2 linked regions of the Arabidopsis thaliana genome follow. The protein of the gene in region 1 interacts with the protein of each later gene in a biochemical or structural test. Each region holds a gene or a part of one and is shown in the gene's direction. Other genes may lie near its edges.

What was found.
Region 2: the proteins of CDPK1 (region 1) and HSP1 form a complex in vitro, tested with the Arabidopsis thaliana proteins (one study listed by BioGRID).

The regions. Positions count from the first base shown.
Region 1 is NC_003070.9:6,521,315-6,529,675, reverse strand, and holds CDPK1 (calcium-dependent protein kinase 1), read left to right. Parts: upstream 1-3,600; 5' UTR 3,601-3,939; coding exon 3,940-4,591; intron 4,592-4,724; coding exon 4,725-4,868; intron 4,869-4,960; coding exon 4,961-5,113; intron 5,114-5,202; coding exon 5,203-5,318; intron 5,319-5,426; coding exon 5,427-5,594; intron 5,595-5,686; coding exon 5,687-5,917; intron 5,918-6,034; coding exon 6,035-6,208; 3' UTR 6,209-6,434; downstream 6,435-8,361. Other genes in the region: NRT1.9 (Major facilitator superfamily protein), read right to left, coding at 6,435-7,335, 7,413-7,966, 8,064-8,281. UniProt on the Arabidopsis thaliana protein: May play a role in signal transduction pathways that involve calcium as a second messenger. May be a positive regulator controlling stress signal transduction.
Region 2 is NC_003075.7:8,507,741-8,514,054, forward strand, and holds HSP1 (17.6 kDa class II heat shock protein), read left to right. Parts: upstream 1-3,167; 5' UTR 3,168-3,242; coding exon 3,243-3,701; 3' UTR 3,702-3,846; downstream 3,847-6,314. Other genes in the region: AT4G14820 (Pentatricopeptide repeat (PPR) superfamily protein), read right to left, coding at 54-1,665, 1,742-2,298; AT4G14840 (spindle assembly abnormal protein), read right to left, coding at 3,847-5,012, 5,093-5,556, 5,755-5,792; LOI1 (Pentatricopeptide repeat (PPR) superfamily protein), read left to right, coding at 6,207-6,314.

The DNA.
Region 1 (8,361 bases):
AATGAATTAGAAGATACATTAGAAAAACATACCCAATTAGCTCTTCTCCAAACTTTGAACATTACTATAAAAACTAGCTTCCTCCCAACAATTTAAATTCTCCAACTTTCTTGCATACACTCACAAGTAAAGCATCATACACTTCGAAATAAGAGCAAATGTTTATACTTTCTCTGCTTCCCACATTAGAACATTCAATTCTAACCAAATGCTCAAAATTTCGATTTTGTCACCATAAGAATCCTTTTTCGACATCTGATTCACATTAGAATCTACTTGATCACATTCGAATCTCACTACCGGTCATCAAAAGTTTTTTAATTTACAAAGTTGAGCTAAAGTCTCGAGAAACGCGTTAAACCCAGAAACCCATCTCGGCATTATTCCCATCGTAATGGAAACGCAAAAAACGAAAAACAGAAATCGTCGTGCACTGATTAAGATTAGTAACAAAGGTGAGATTTTAAGCAGGATCAATAGAACACAAAAGTCACCTGAAAAACGGTGGCGTTAACTTGTTAGGTTATGATTATTGATGTCCCTGCAGAATTCTCCAGGTGATATTGAAAATAAATAGAGAGAGAGACGAGTTCGTCTTCTTCCTCACGTTGTCGTCGAAATTGAGAGAAGAAGCGTTCTTCTACTCTCCTCCAAGCATATTTGGTCACACACACGGAGGCTGCTGCCAATTCAAGGTCTCAACTTTTTTTTTTGCTCTCCTTTTATATTTTCACTTCATTTCTCTTACCTAAACTTTCAAATATACCCCTCATCTTTAATTAGTTTCCAAATAACACCTAATAGTCTTATTCTTACAAGAATTCTCCCCATTCTTAATAGTTTTTTTTATTCCCCTTTCATAACTTCTTTCTCTCAATTAGCCAGTAAATATTTCTATTTTGTTTGATACATGATAAATTCGAAGTATTTTTTGTGGTTTTAAAAAGGATTATGTGTTTTATGGAGTTATAGAAGAATATATGGCTTTGACTAAAAAGAAGAAGAAATTGAGCTTCTTTTTGTTATTTTCCACTTTGGTTAGTTCTTAATTGCAACGTAGAAGCCTTGCCCTCCCCAAGTTTCGCAAGTCTTCAACAAAAATGTTCCGCAAGTCTTCGCTATTACACGTGGCGTTGCTTTCATGTCTTGCCCGTGACTGTCCTGTTACTCTAGTGGTCAGAGAAAGTTTCTTTTTCAGTTGTATTTTGACTATTCAGATTTTGGTGGTAAGTTGAGAAACGAGAACTTTTAGCGGAATAAGCATTATATGATTAAAAAAACTCTATAATCAAAGAAGAATAATTGTCTTGTAGAGTTTGCTAATCCTCTTCTCCAAGCAAGGTGCAAAGTCTCCTCTGCATACTAGGCTTAGTTCAATACATCTTTCAATCTAGTTAGGCCCATTAGCCCGTTATGTTTACAAAGTTAAAAGCCCACTTACTTGAGAAAATTCACAGATGCACACATGCATTAGATTATGTACTGCAATCTGAAAATGCATGATGAGAGGTCTCATACACAAAACAAAATCAAAAACAATTTAGAAAAATATTAGAGTAACTTATAAAGACTGTTACAGCTGAAACTAAAATACTAATAAATTCGACTTCTGGCAATAATTAAGGATTACATCTCTTTTGTTTAGAGTATAATTGAACTTTTGGAGCTGTAATATAATTTGTATGTATGATTTATGAAAAGTGATTGAACTTATACATAGATGGAAAAGTTGGCGTAACAACATGCATGATACATACAGAACACATGCAGCCACAGCATTTGAATAGAACACATCATCACAATTCCCAAACATAATCATTCTCTTCAGCAAAAAGACACACTCTTTCCAAATATAATTGTCACTTTTACTGTTTTAAATTTTAAGTTATGCCAGCTTTAAAGTTGCCGACGACAAAAGCATGTCCATCGTTTCTTTCTTCTTCGGAAGATTAATCAGAGGATTTAAAATAATCTAAATTCGAGATTATGTTGTATAAATATCCATTTTGAAACTTGAATGAACAAAAAACCGATAAAGTTTTCCACGAATAAGTTGTTGGTGTTTTTAGTAGGTTCATAGATAGGAGGGTGGAAGGTCTCTAGTTGGGCAATAAATTGAAACCGCTTTTTTCTGACCTACCAAATATTAATTTGATCGAATCATTGAAAAAAATACATATATAAAATTATCCATATAAAAACTATGTAGTTTGCTTTAAAATATTTCATCGTATGCAATGATATATGCATACTTAATCCACCACATGTCCCTTGAAACAAAAGCACTTAAGCTCTGTGTGGTTGACATTAAATCACACATTTCATTTTGTTAAAATTAAAGTCTAAAATTTTATTCATGGTAGTACATCCATCATCAAAGACCATTTTCATTGAACAAAATAAAGTTTCAATCTCTAATCCTTTGTGAAAATTCTTACTACTATATATTAATTAGGTCTTTTGGAATATAGACGCGCAACACACATTTTCTTATATATGGATTGAATGGTATCCAAATCCCCAAGGTAATGTAATGTAAAACCAAGATAAAGAAAACGAGTATGACATTGACAATTGAACTTGTAGCGAAGTCAGGATAGGACGACTTGCGGTTTCTACTTTCTAAGCCAAAGAAACATAGTTTTCATTGATTTTTAGTGTTTTTAAATTTGTTGTTGACTTCCATTAATGGAATATTTCGTACTTTGCTTCTTCTTTTCGAATTTTATTTACCTATATAACTTTGCTTTATTTTCTACAACACAATAAGTATTGCTCATAATTGAGGAAGTCTATACACACAATATTTTCCTATCCTTTCTTTTTTTCTGTCGGGAATTTCTTCATATCCTAGCATCTAGATTATGATTGTACACATACAAAAACAGAAAAGAACTAGACTTCAAAATAATGCAAATTAGAAACAAAAAATTGCTCCAAAAAAAATATATTCAAAACTATAAATAAAATATTATTATGATTTTTCTTCTATTTTACGTACATTGTATATCTCTAGAGAAGAAAATAATTTTTAAAAAATAGTTTGGGATCAACGTCGCACTTATTGTTTTGTCTTACAATCTCAGAGTCTCACCGTATCCACCACGCTGGTCAACAACTTCAACAAAACTCTCTTCCTCGAACTTCAATCTTATCCCTTCATTTCATTACCATTAATTCACACCAACGGCTAACATTGTCCTCCTCGCTAAACTGTTAATTATACGTTTGGCCGTAATGTTTTGAAGTCTGCCTATATTTCTTTTCAATAAATGCTCTTTTAATTAGGTTTTAATTTGGTGAAATCCAACCTTTAAATTTTCTGATGCTGTTAAATCTAAGAGTTTGAATTTTCTAAAATCATTGTTGTCGGTTATCATTTGTACATCTTGATAGAACTATAATATGATCAATATAAACTTATAATAATAATAACTGAAAATACAAATGATTTTGTTTGTTTGTTTATAAAACCACTGAAAAATGCAAGAGTTAATCCACTGAGTTCAACCAAAAAATAAAGAAGTGAATTCTATTAGTCATAAGCTTGGACCAAAAAATCCATCTAGAAGAAAAAAAAAATTGAAAAAAAATTACAAGTTTCTAAGAAGATGGTGCAATGGTTAGAAAAATCTCTCAAGTTATTAAATGCATCATAAACTAATACTGTATATTACTATACACAAAAATCAAAGACTCCCTTTTTTTTAATTGAATCAAACAAAATCCGAAATTTCGAAAGGTCCGACTTTTCCTCACCTGAACCCGCGTTTTCTCTCCCCCTCCCAACCCAACTCTCCAATTCGCCGGAAAATCACCGCCACCGTCACTTCCGGCGTCCATATGAACTAAAGAGATAAGCTTTTTTCTTCTATAATCCTTCTTCTTCTTCTTCCTTGATCTCCTTTCTCTGAGTTTGCTGAGTTTCTTAACTCAGCCATGGGTAACTGTAACGCCTGTGTAAGGCCAGACTCAAAAGAATCAAAACCATCTTCAAAGCCGAAAAAACCCAATCGAGATCGGAAATTAAACCCATTCGCCGGAGATTTCACCAGATCCCCAGCTCCAATACGTGTTCTCAAAGATGTAATCCCTATGAGCAATCAAACTCAGATCAGCGACAAATACATCTTAGGTCGTGAATTAGGTCGAGGCGAATTCGGAATCACTTACCTCTGTACTGATCGTGAAACCCACGAAGCTTTAGCTTGCAAATCGATTTCAAAGCGAAAGCTTCGAACAGCTGTCGATATCGAAGACGTTCGTCGTGAGGTAGCGATTATGTCTACTTTACCTGAGCATCCAAACGTAGTTAAGCTTAAGGCTAGTTATGAGGATAACGAGAACGTGCATCTGGTTATGGAGCTTTGTGAAGGAGGTGAGCTTTTTGATCGGATTGTTGCTAGAGGACATTACACGGAGCGTGCTGCTGCAGCTGTTGCGAGAACGATTGCTGAGGTTGTGATGATGTGTCACTCTAATGGAGTTATGCATCGAGATTTGAAACCTGAGAATTTCTTGTTTGCTAATAAAAAGGAGAATTCTCCACTAAAGGCTATTGATTTTGGCTTGTCTGTGTTCTTCAAACCTGGTAAAGATTCAATTTTTAGTGTTTCTTAACTCAGTGGATGGTTCTATTTTTAGACTATCCTGCCATATCTTCATGTTTATGGAAGTTTGTGTAGATATCTGAGATTGGGTAAATAACGTTTTCTTTATTGTAGGAGATAAGTTTACAGAGATTGTAGGAAGTCCGTATTATATGGCTCCAGAAGTGTTGAAGAGAGATTATGGACCAGGGGTTGATGTGTGGAGTGCCGGAGTTATTATCTATATCTTGCTCTGTGGTGTTCCTCCGTTTTGGGCTGGTTAGCTTCTTCTTTTAATTATTTTAGCAGCTGTGTAATTGTTCACCTATGTTGATTAGATAAACCGATAAGATTGTGGTTTCTATTGACAGAGACTGAACAAGGTGTTGCTCTTGCGATCTTGCGGGGAGTTCTTGATTTTAAGAGAGACCCTTGGCCTCAGATATCAGAGAGTGCCAAGAGCCTTGTGAAGCAGATGTTGGATCCTGATCCGACTAAGCGGTTAACTGCTCAGCAAGTGTTAGGTGAAGTTCTTGTGTTTCTGTTTTCTTTAATGGTCGTAGTTACCTTAATCCACTCTATTACTAATGATTTTCTTTTTCTCACCTTTCAGCTCACCCATGGATACAGAATGCAAAGAAAGCTCCCAATGTTCCTTTAGGAGATATAGTCAGATCTAGGTTGAAGCAGTTCTCTATGATGAACAGATTCAAAAAGAAAGTTCTTCGTGTAAGTGTTTTTTTTTTGCCTTTTACTTTTCTGCTGAAGTTTGTAGAGAGTCTGTTGTGTGTGTCTATATTTGGTTTTGATCATTATCATCCCTGTTAATGCTTCCAGGTAATTGCGGAGCACTTGTCTATTCAAGAGGTTGAAGTGATAAAGAACATGTTCTCACTGATGGATGATGACAAGGATGGTAAAATAACTTACCCGGAACTCAAAGCTGGGCTTCAGAAGGTCGGTTCACAACTTGGTGAACCAGAGATCAAAATGTTGATGGAAGTGGTAATTTAAGCATTGCCCTTATCTGATTAAAGACCAATTCAGTGTTCTTCTCTGATAAACATAGCTGAAATCTGTATGGCTTTGACGCGCAGGCGGATGTCGATGGAAATGGGTTTCTGGATTATGGAGAGTTTGTAGCTGTGATAATTCACTTGCAGAAGATAGAGAATGATGAACTTTTCAAACTAGCTTTTATGTTTTTCGACAAAGATGGAAGTACATACATTGAACTTGATGAGCTACGGGAAGCTTTAGCGGATGAGTTAGGCGAGCCAGACGCCAGTGTTCTAAGCGACATCATGCGTGAAGTTGACACTGACAAGGTTCTTTCAAATATCCAAAAAAATCCTCCTTTAAGGCCTAACAATAAAGCTTGTCAAGAGAAAAGATATATCCCTCTGCTTCTGAGTCGGATTGTTGGGCTTGTTTGCTTTTTACAGGACGGACGTATAAACTATGATGAGTTTGTGACGATGATGAAAGCTGGAACTGACTGGAGAAAGGCATCGAGACAATATTCAAGAGAGAGGTTCAAAAGCTTAAGCATTAACTTGATGAAAGATGGGTCATTGCATCTCCATGACGCTCTCACTGGACAAACTGTTCCTGTTTAAATTTATTCGTTATCACCAAAAACAGAGCAATGCTCCGTTTTTTCCCCATTTCATAAATTGGGAATTTTCCGGGCTTGTTCTTTGAGGGATGGGAATTTTACGGAAGCTATGGTTCTTTACATATATAAACATTTTACATTGTATTTTGTATGTAATGTTTTGTTCAAAGGTTGTATTTTTATTGTCTCAAAGCCCCTAAACCAAAGAGTCAAAGGAAAGATCTTTATTACACTGACACCTTATCAAACTCAGCAGAAGTCTTGTCCATGTCCTTGTCCTTGGCCACAACATCTTTGTAACGGTACCAATGTGAGACCAACAAGAAATAGGCCAAGTTTAGAGTCATCATACCAGCAACCAAGAAGTAGAAATACTCCAATCTTCCCTTGTTTAAATCTTCCGGAAGCCAACTTCCTCCTGAAAATCCCTCTGTGGTATCGTGTACCGCCGATAACAAAAAGGTGCTGAGGTAACTCGCCAATCCGATTCCACAATAATACAGAGAACCAGCAAAACTTCGCATGTTCTCTGGAAACTGTTTGTAGTAAAACTCCATTTGTCCAACTCCAGCGAGGGCGTCCGCGATACCCATTAGCACTAGCTGAGGAATCAACCACATACCGGACATCGAAGAGATTGCGCCTTTTCTTGGGGCCAACCCTAGCGTCGGTTTTGTGAGAGCTACCTTTCTTCTGTATTGTTCTACAATTGCAGACACCATCATACTTGTGATGCATAGAAACAGTCCTGCTCCAACTCTCTGCAGTTGTGTGATACCGCCGTCTCTGCCTGTATACTTTCTAAGGAAAGGTACAAGGACGCGGTCATAGATAGGTATGAATATCGTCATTCCAAGCATTAGGAAGACGGTATAAGAACCGGCCGGGATCTGGAAACTTCCTGGACCAAGGCGTCTATCGGATTGAAGAGACTGAAAGATTGTGTAGGTTGTTTGTTGAATGTAAGCTAGGTAGAATAAGGCGGCCGAGAGCCAAACCGGAAGCACCCGGATCACGCATTTAACTTCCTCCACTTGTTGCATACTGCAGAGTTTCCATGCATCCACCGGCGACCCATCTTTGTTCAGCTTGTCGTCTTGTGTTTGGATTGCCGATTTGTCAAGAAACCTGCAAATTAAGAAAACCCTAAAATGTTTCTAAGTTGTTCCACAAGAAACTAAGAGAAGTAGTGAGGTTATTAGTACCTGAACTGCTCTGTATGGCCCAATTTCGAGTTCTTGAAATCACTGGCGATGTAGTTGTAAAGCTCGTTAGGCCCAACGGGCTTTAACCGCCTCTTCTTGATCGCGACAACAATGACACGAGTTATGCTGTGAATGGGACTGCCACTAGCTTTAACCTTGACATAGAGCTTAGAACCAGCGAAGAATATGATGCAACCAAGTAGCATTAGAATAGCTGGGATGGCTAAACCAATGCTCCAGCTCACGTTTGACTGAACATAGACGATGAGGGTTAACGACACCATCTGAGCAAACGTGAAGGTGAAGAAATACCAATTGAAGAAACTCTCAATCCCTCGTTTCCCTTCTTTTGTCTTCGGATCGAACTGATCAGCACCAAATGGAAGATTGCATGGCCTAATCCCACCGGCTCCGATCACCAGCAAAACCATTGCTCCGGCGAGAAACATGATTTGTCCGATGGATGGCCCATTGCACACGCTTCCTATTTCCTTAGCGCATTGAGCTGGATGCAGGGGATGAATCACAGCCGTTAGATCCATTGCCACCGAACCCTTTGCATCAAACACAACAAACGATTGAAACTTTCAGACATAATCAGCTAGTTTTTTTTCAAACTGAAAATTGTGATGAATAGGTTTTAGAATTTACGAGAAAGCAAGCGATCATGGCGAAAGATAGGGTCTTGTAGCGGCCAAAGTAGGAGTCACAGAGGAAAGCAGCGACGATGGTGCCAAAGTTGCTTGTGCCACCGTAGATGTTGACGACTTTCGCAGCCGTGATGCTCTTCATGTTGAAAACCGTCGTTAAGTATATAACCAGATTCGATGAACTTCCAACAATCCCCAATTTTTCAAATGTCTCATTTCCTACCAAATTAAGAAACAGAGCATTAAGTTACTCTGTTCATAAAATCCTCTGTTTTCTCTATCAGTTTCTTGTTCGTTTC
Region 2 (6,314 bases), on another chromosome or scaffold:
AAAGTTACAAAATTAATACTTTGAGCAAAATTAATATTTATTTGTTACTAAACTCACCAGTAATCTCTGCAAGAACACAGACCGTTTTTATAACAGTGAAACCTAGTTCGATCTCTCACTATGATCTCTCGTTCATACACTTTAGAGACGAGCTTGAAGAAAAGGTGACAATCCTCACACACCCTTAGATTCTTCACTATTCTAATAACACCGCACGAGTCTTTCTCTTCTTCTTTTTCCTCATTCATCAGACCGAAGCAGAGCGCGAGCTTTTCGCTATGCCATAGAACCAAATCCTTCTTTTCTTCCTCCTCTACATCCACCAAAACGCTACCACAGTCTGGAACGTAACCGGCTAGCTTCAGTTTACTTACAACCTCGTCTAGCTTCGCATAAATCTCATTTGATTGCTTATGTCTCTTGTCACCGATGAGAAACTCGTGTGATTTCCCGTTTTGGTCAATCCGGCTAAGACCTTTCTCCTTGAACACATTCTTTTCCTCCATTACACGTCTTATGTTCCTTACGTCCTCCCATCTCTGTTCTCTAGCGTATATATTGGACATTAACACAAGAGCCCCGTCATGATCAGGCTCCAGCTCGAGGATACGTTTGGCTGCAAATTTGCCTAACTCAAGCTCACCATGGATTCTACAAGCTGACATCAGTGATCCCCATATGACTACATTAGACGCTACTGGCATTGATTCTATAACCTCAAGAGCTTCTCGTAAGAGATTAGCTCGGCCAAAGAGATCCACCATGCATCCATAATGCTCAAGTTTTGGAGTAATATTGTATTCATCAGTCATTGATGCAAAGATCTTTTTACCTTCTTCAACTAGTCCTGAGTGGCTACAACCATAGAGAACTCCTACAAAAGTGACTTCATTGGGCTCGACATTTTCCTGTTTCATTCGGGCAAATAAGCTAAGTGCATCACTGGCTTCTCCATGCATAGATAACGCATTGATCATAGAGCTCCACGACACTACATTCCTCCTTGGCATCTTCTCAAACACGTCTCTTGTTGCATCCAAACCTCCACATTTCGCATACATGTTAATGAGGGCATTATTTATTGACAACTCTGATTCCAACCCGTTAACATGTATGCAACTGTGAACCCATTTCGCTTTATCCAGAATACCAAGGTTAGCACAAGCAGATATAACACTGAACATGCTAACCACATCAGGTTTGATCCCAGAGCAACACATTTCCTCAAAAACTCTTAAAGCTTCTTGAGGATAATCACTTTCAACATAAGCCGAAATCATTGTGGTCCAACACACCAAATCTTTCTTTTCCGTTTGGTCAAATATAACCTGAGCATCATCGAGTCTCCCACATTTTGAATACCCAGAAACCATGGCAGTCGAAACAAACAAGTTTCTCACTGACATCTTCCTAAAAAACTCCCTTGCCATATCCATACAACCAGCTCCAGCATACATAGTAACAAGAGCAGTCAACAAATGAGTATCCATCCTAACATCATTTTCTATCAAAAACTCGTAAATAGCTCTGTTATATCTCATATTCCCAGTACGACCACATGCAGAGACAATGTTACAGAGAATCATTTCATCTGGCATCACATTAGAATCCTTCATCTCCTCAAAAAGCTTAAAGGCTTCATCTACAAGACCGAATCGGCAATACCTACAAAAAAGTTAAAGTTAACAACTTTTAAAAAAGAAAACACTAAACAACATTTCACTCTGTTTATGATCCTAACCTCTCAATCATAGTATTCCACGTAACAACATCTCTATGCGACATTTCGTCGAACACATTGCGCGCGTAGTTAATTCTACCACAAGACGCGTACATATCCATAAAACCAGTCTCAACAAAAGGGTCGCACAAAGTCGCAATCTTGAACGCAACGCCGTGAAGCTCCATACCCTCGAACAAGGCCGAGACTTTGGAAACTGCTTTAAGAATCGGAAGGAAGCTGAATTGATCAAGACGACCACCAACATGTCTAATCCTCTGATAGAACAGAATCGTCGCTCTAGGTTCACTGGAACGAGATAGATCCCGGAGAAATGGATTGAAGACGATGGATTCAGGCGGAGAGGGAATAGATGAAAAGACATTGAGAGCGTAGCTGAGATTGATAGAGGAAGAAGAGACGGAGAGGTTAAAGAGAAAGGAGTTGAGTTTGTGGTTGATCACTGTACGGAGGATGTGAGCATGGAGTTGCTTGATGTGGTTGAGTGATTTGCAGAATGAGAGTTTCTCTAGAATTGTATTCGCGGCCGTTGACGCTATTGGCGGCGGAAGTGTCATCGGCGTATACAATTGAATTTAAAAGAATCATCATCACACGTAACACATAAATCGATATATTCTTTTAAAAAATATTGATACCAAAGAAAATAATTGAATAAGTATTACTGAAAACAGTTTATATCATATCTGATAGACTGATACAGTTGAATTGCTGATACCAAACAAAAAAATGTTTAAAGAATTTCTATAATATCTGATACAGTTGAATTTTATCAATTTCTACATCCATATTCCATATTACTGATATTTAAATTATCAAATTGAGTATAGGATGATTTTGACATATACAAAAAAAAATTAATTTTGTCACAAGATTGCTAACTTTATTATATCATACGATTTCATAAGTAGTTTTTTTTATAAAGATTATAAATAATTCACTTTTATTGTTTACATATCATATAAAAAAGTCTAAATTTCATAATAAATCGTCAATACTTATATTCGAAGGTTTTTGTGCGTAGAAGTAACTATTGAAGGGCAATATTCTTGCAAATACAACGATTATGTTTAAGAAACATAAAAGTTAGGAAAGATATTGTTTAGAAATATTTAATAATGTAAATATTAAACGGATAAATAAAAGTTACGTAAATGTTTTTTTTTGGAAGGGAGGGGGGTTTCCCTATGTTTTGACGAAAAATGTACAGTTTAAAACCTTTCTCTCAGTCTGTTGGTTGGCTCCATTCGCAGCTTACTGTTTTCGTCAACCAAATTTTGTTTATCCATTTCTTAAATCATCACTTAATCATTGCCTAGTTCTAATCCCAAAGTTGGATCAGAAATCCAAATTTCAAAGTCGTTATACAGAGCCGTAGCTTTCTGGCAATTTTGATTCCCACCAAAAAGGTGATCACTTTATATTAGATTCCTCATCTTTTCTCCTATTAATTTTGACCCATTCGCTTCTTATCACTCTCACACCCAAAAAAAAAAGACCCATGAAAATCCACCCATTACCCAGAAACGAAAATAACAACAATCTGATCCATCACGCTCGTGATCCGACCCGAGAACCCGGAAAGAAGCTCCGTCGTCTCCCACATATCTTCAGCCGTGTTCTAGAGCTGCCCTTGAAGTCAGACGCTGACGTGGCTGTTGAAGAGAGTCATGACTGCTTCAGGTTCGTCGCGGAAACAGACGGGGGAGGAGGAGGAGGTGTGAGGGCTTACATGGTTGAGATTCATCCTGGTGTGACCAAGATTCTTGTGAGAACCAATGGTTCATCGTCTCTTGGTTTGTCGCTTGATGAGCTTGAGCTTGACGTGTGGCGTTTCAGGCTACCGGAATCAACTAGGCCTGAGCTCGTTACCGTGGATTGCGACGGCGATGGAGAATTGATTGTCACTGTGCCTAAGATTGAAGACAATGGTAGAGATTTGATAGTGCTTGTACAGTAATCTAATGTGTTTGTGATCAAATGAGAAAAATCTTGACTTTTTTTATCTAATGGTTATCAAAGTTAAGATCTTTTTGTTTCTTTATGAAAATATGGATACAGAGTAGGTTTTGCCTTATGTAACGTAACATCAATTGGTTTTAGTTTTAGAGATAAAATCCTTTGAGAGGGGCAAATTTATTGAGGATCTCTGATTCACGTTTAAGAGCATTGTCTTTCTTCATTTCCCATTCAGGTTTCTTCAAGTTAGCTGCTTGAACTTCTTGAACCACTTTAGGGATTGAGTTCGCTACCATCTTCTGACCAAAGATTAGATCAACCTTCTCTTTCCCCTTGTTACTGATGCAGCGGGTAAGCTCGGTTCGTTTAGCTTGAAGCTGAGCGATTTGCTCGTCAATTTGACGGATTGTCTCTGAGTTTCTATCGACTTCCGTTTGGATATTGCCTAGCTTGTCCTTTAAGTCGCTGTATTCGTACTTGAGAGATGCGACCTTCGCTTTGTTAAGCTCGAGAGCGGAGAAGAACCTATCTGCTTCTACTATCATGCTTTGGTTCTCTTGAAAAACTTCGCTGAAAGTTGGAATTTCTTCGATTAGCTTCAACCTCACTATTTCTTCAGCTGATAGGCTTGGATCTTTCTTGAGTTTAGCTGCCAAGCTTGCCATCTCCGTAGCTTCATTAGACATGAACAAGGAAGAGAAATCTTTCTCCAGAAGCGATGAAAGCTTCATTCGAGCTTCTGTCCATTCGTAATCTCTCACTGGAGAGCTTGCACTAACGGGAAGTGATGATGAAGACTCCTGTCCTGCTTCTGAAGGCTGTTGCTGAAGAAGATTCTCTAGAGAGTTCAGATAACTGTCAAACTCTTCTGGGTTTATATCCACAGGAGGGTGAGAGACTGCAATGACACCGTTCATAGAAGAAACATAGATATGCGGAACAAAAGCCTCTTCTTCTTCTTCTTCGTCTGCATAGTTACCTCTGCGTTTCTTCATCCTCTTGCTGCCTTTCTTTGCATCTGATTCCTTGTTTTCTTCAGTCAAGTCAAACACATCACCTTGTTGCTGTCTTGTGTAACGTTTCGAGGAAGATTCCCGAGCTGACTTATGTTCAGCAGCTGGTGTTGTTGTGGCTGTCTTTTTCCTGTTGCTAGCTCGCGGAGTTGCTTTAGGTTCATTAGTCTGTATCTGCACCTGTTTTCTCTTCCTCTGGCTGTAACGCGAAGTTGATCCTTCTTTTTTTACATCCTCAGCATCCTCATCTTGATTCTGTCCTTCTTTGGATGTCTCTTCAAACAGAGACGCAGCATCAACTACAGAAAAAAAGAAACATCATTCATGTGTTGCAGATAGAGTTTTATGGCTGACGCAACAGAAGAGTGTTAGTTGCTACCTCTTTCTGCAGGCTGAAACAAAGCCGGAATGTTCCAGGTAAAAGATGCAAAGAATGCATTAGCATCCATATCAGGGAAACTAGTTTCGAGATAACGCGAAAGAGTGTTTTTGCTTGCAAAAGATTTGGGTACATTCTTGCCCTTAAGCCTCTCCGGGAGAATGAGTAAGCGATCCTTATGGAACCCGGCATTATTCACTCTCCTCCCAACTCTCCAAGTCCAAACATCGCCGGGGCTCGGGAAATCGACAGGTGCAAACGGCAAACCTTGACCACTAGAAGCTGGCGGAATCGCCGGGAGTTGATTCAAATCAGTGAAGGAGCTTCTGTCACCATTAACCTTCACATCATCACCATCACCATCACTGTTGAATCCGTTTTCCCGATAATAGTCATTCTCAACCGGGACTGGTTCAGTCTCCTTGCTTCTATTACTCATTGACACTACTGATTCACCATCAAATCTGTGCAGATTCATAAATGTGATTGAATCAAATAACATAACTTAACTAATTGCTTTGCAGTTATAATCACATATATTCATTACTCTATTCCCAATAACAAAACAAAATCGATCATGACTCAAAGTTTCCTAGAATCAATGCAGAGAAACCTATACAGAAGTGTAAACATATTGATAGTTCTTAATGAATTGAATTTACCCAGGAGAATTTTGACCTATCTCTTGATCCATATCCATCGAAGCAGACCAAAAACCCTAATTCCTGCGATAGATAAACACCCAAATAAACAAAGCAAAGGATGAATTCTAATCTATAACAATGTTAAGGGAACAAACCCACACAAATTAAAAGTTAAGTTGATTAGAAATTTCTCCAGAATGCAGATAAAGATACGAACTTTGGAGAGTCAAGAACAGAGTAGCCGATCTTATGCTTCAACTACAACAGATTACAAATTTATCAAACTCATTCGTTTCTTATATATCCTCTTTTCGATCAGATTAGTCCTACAAACAGAGGTGGAATAACAGTTATACCCTTTTAGTTTGTTTTTGTTTACACAGATGAAGATTGAAATTACGATTATACCGTTCAATGTTTCTTCTTCACCGACTTGAAAGCTATGACCTTTCCGATCACCGGCGTTAGTTATGAGCCTCCTCTCCGCGGACGCACTTGGGTTACTTCTCAAGAATGCAATCTCCGCGAGTTCCATGCGTTTGGGTCGCGTCGTTCACGCAAGAATCGTCAAAACCCTC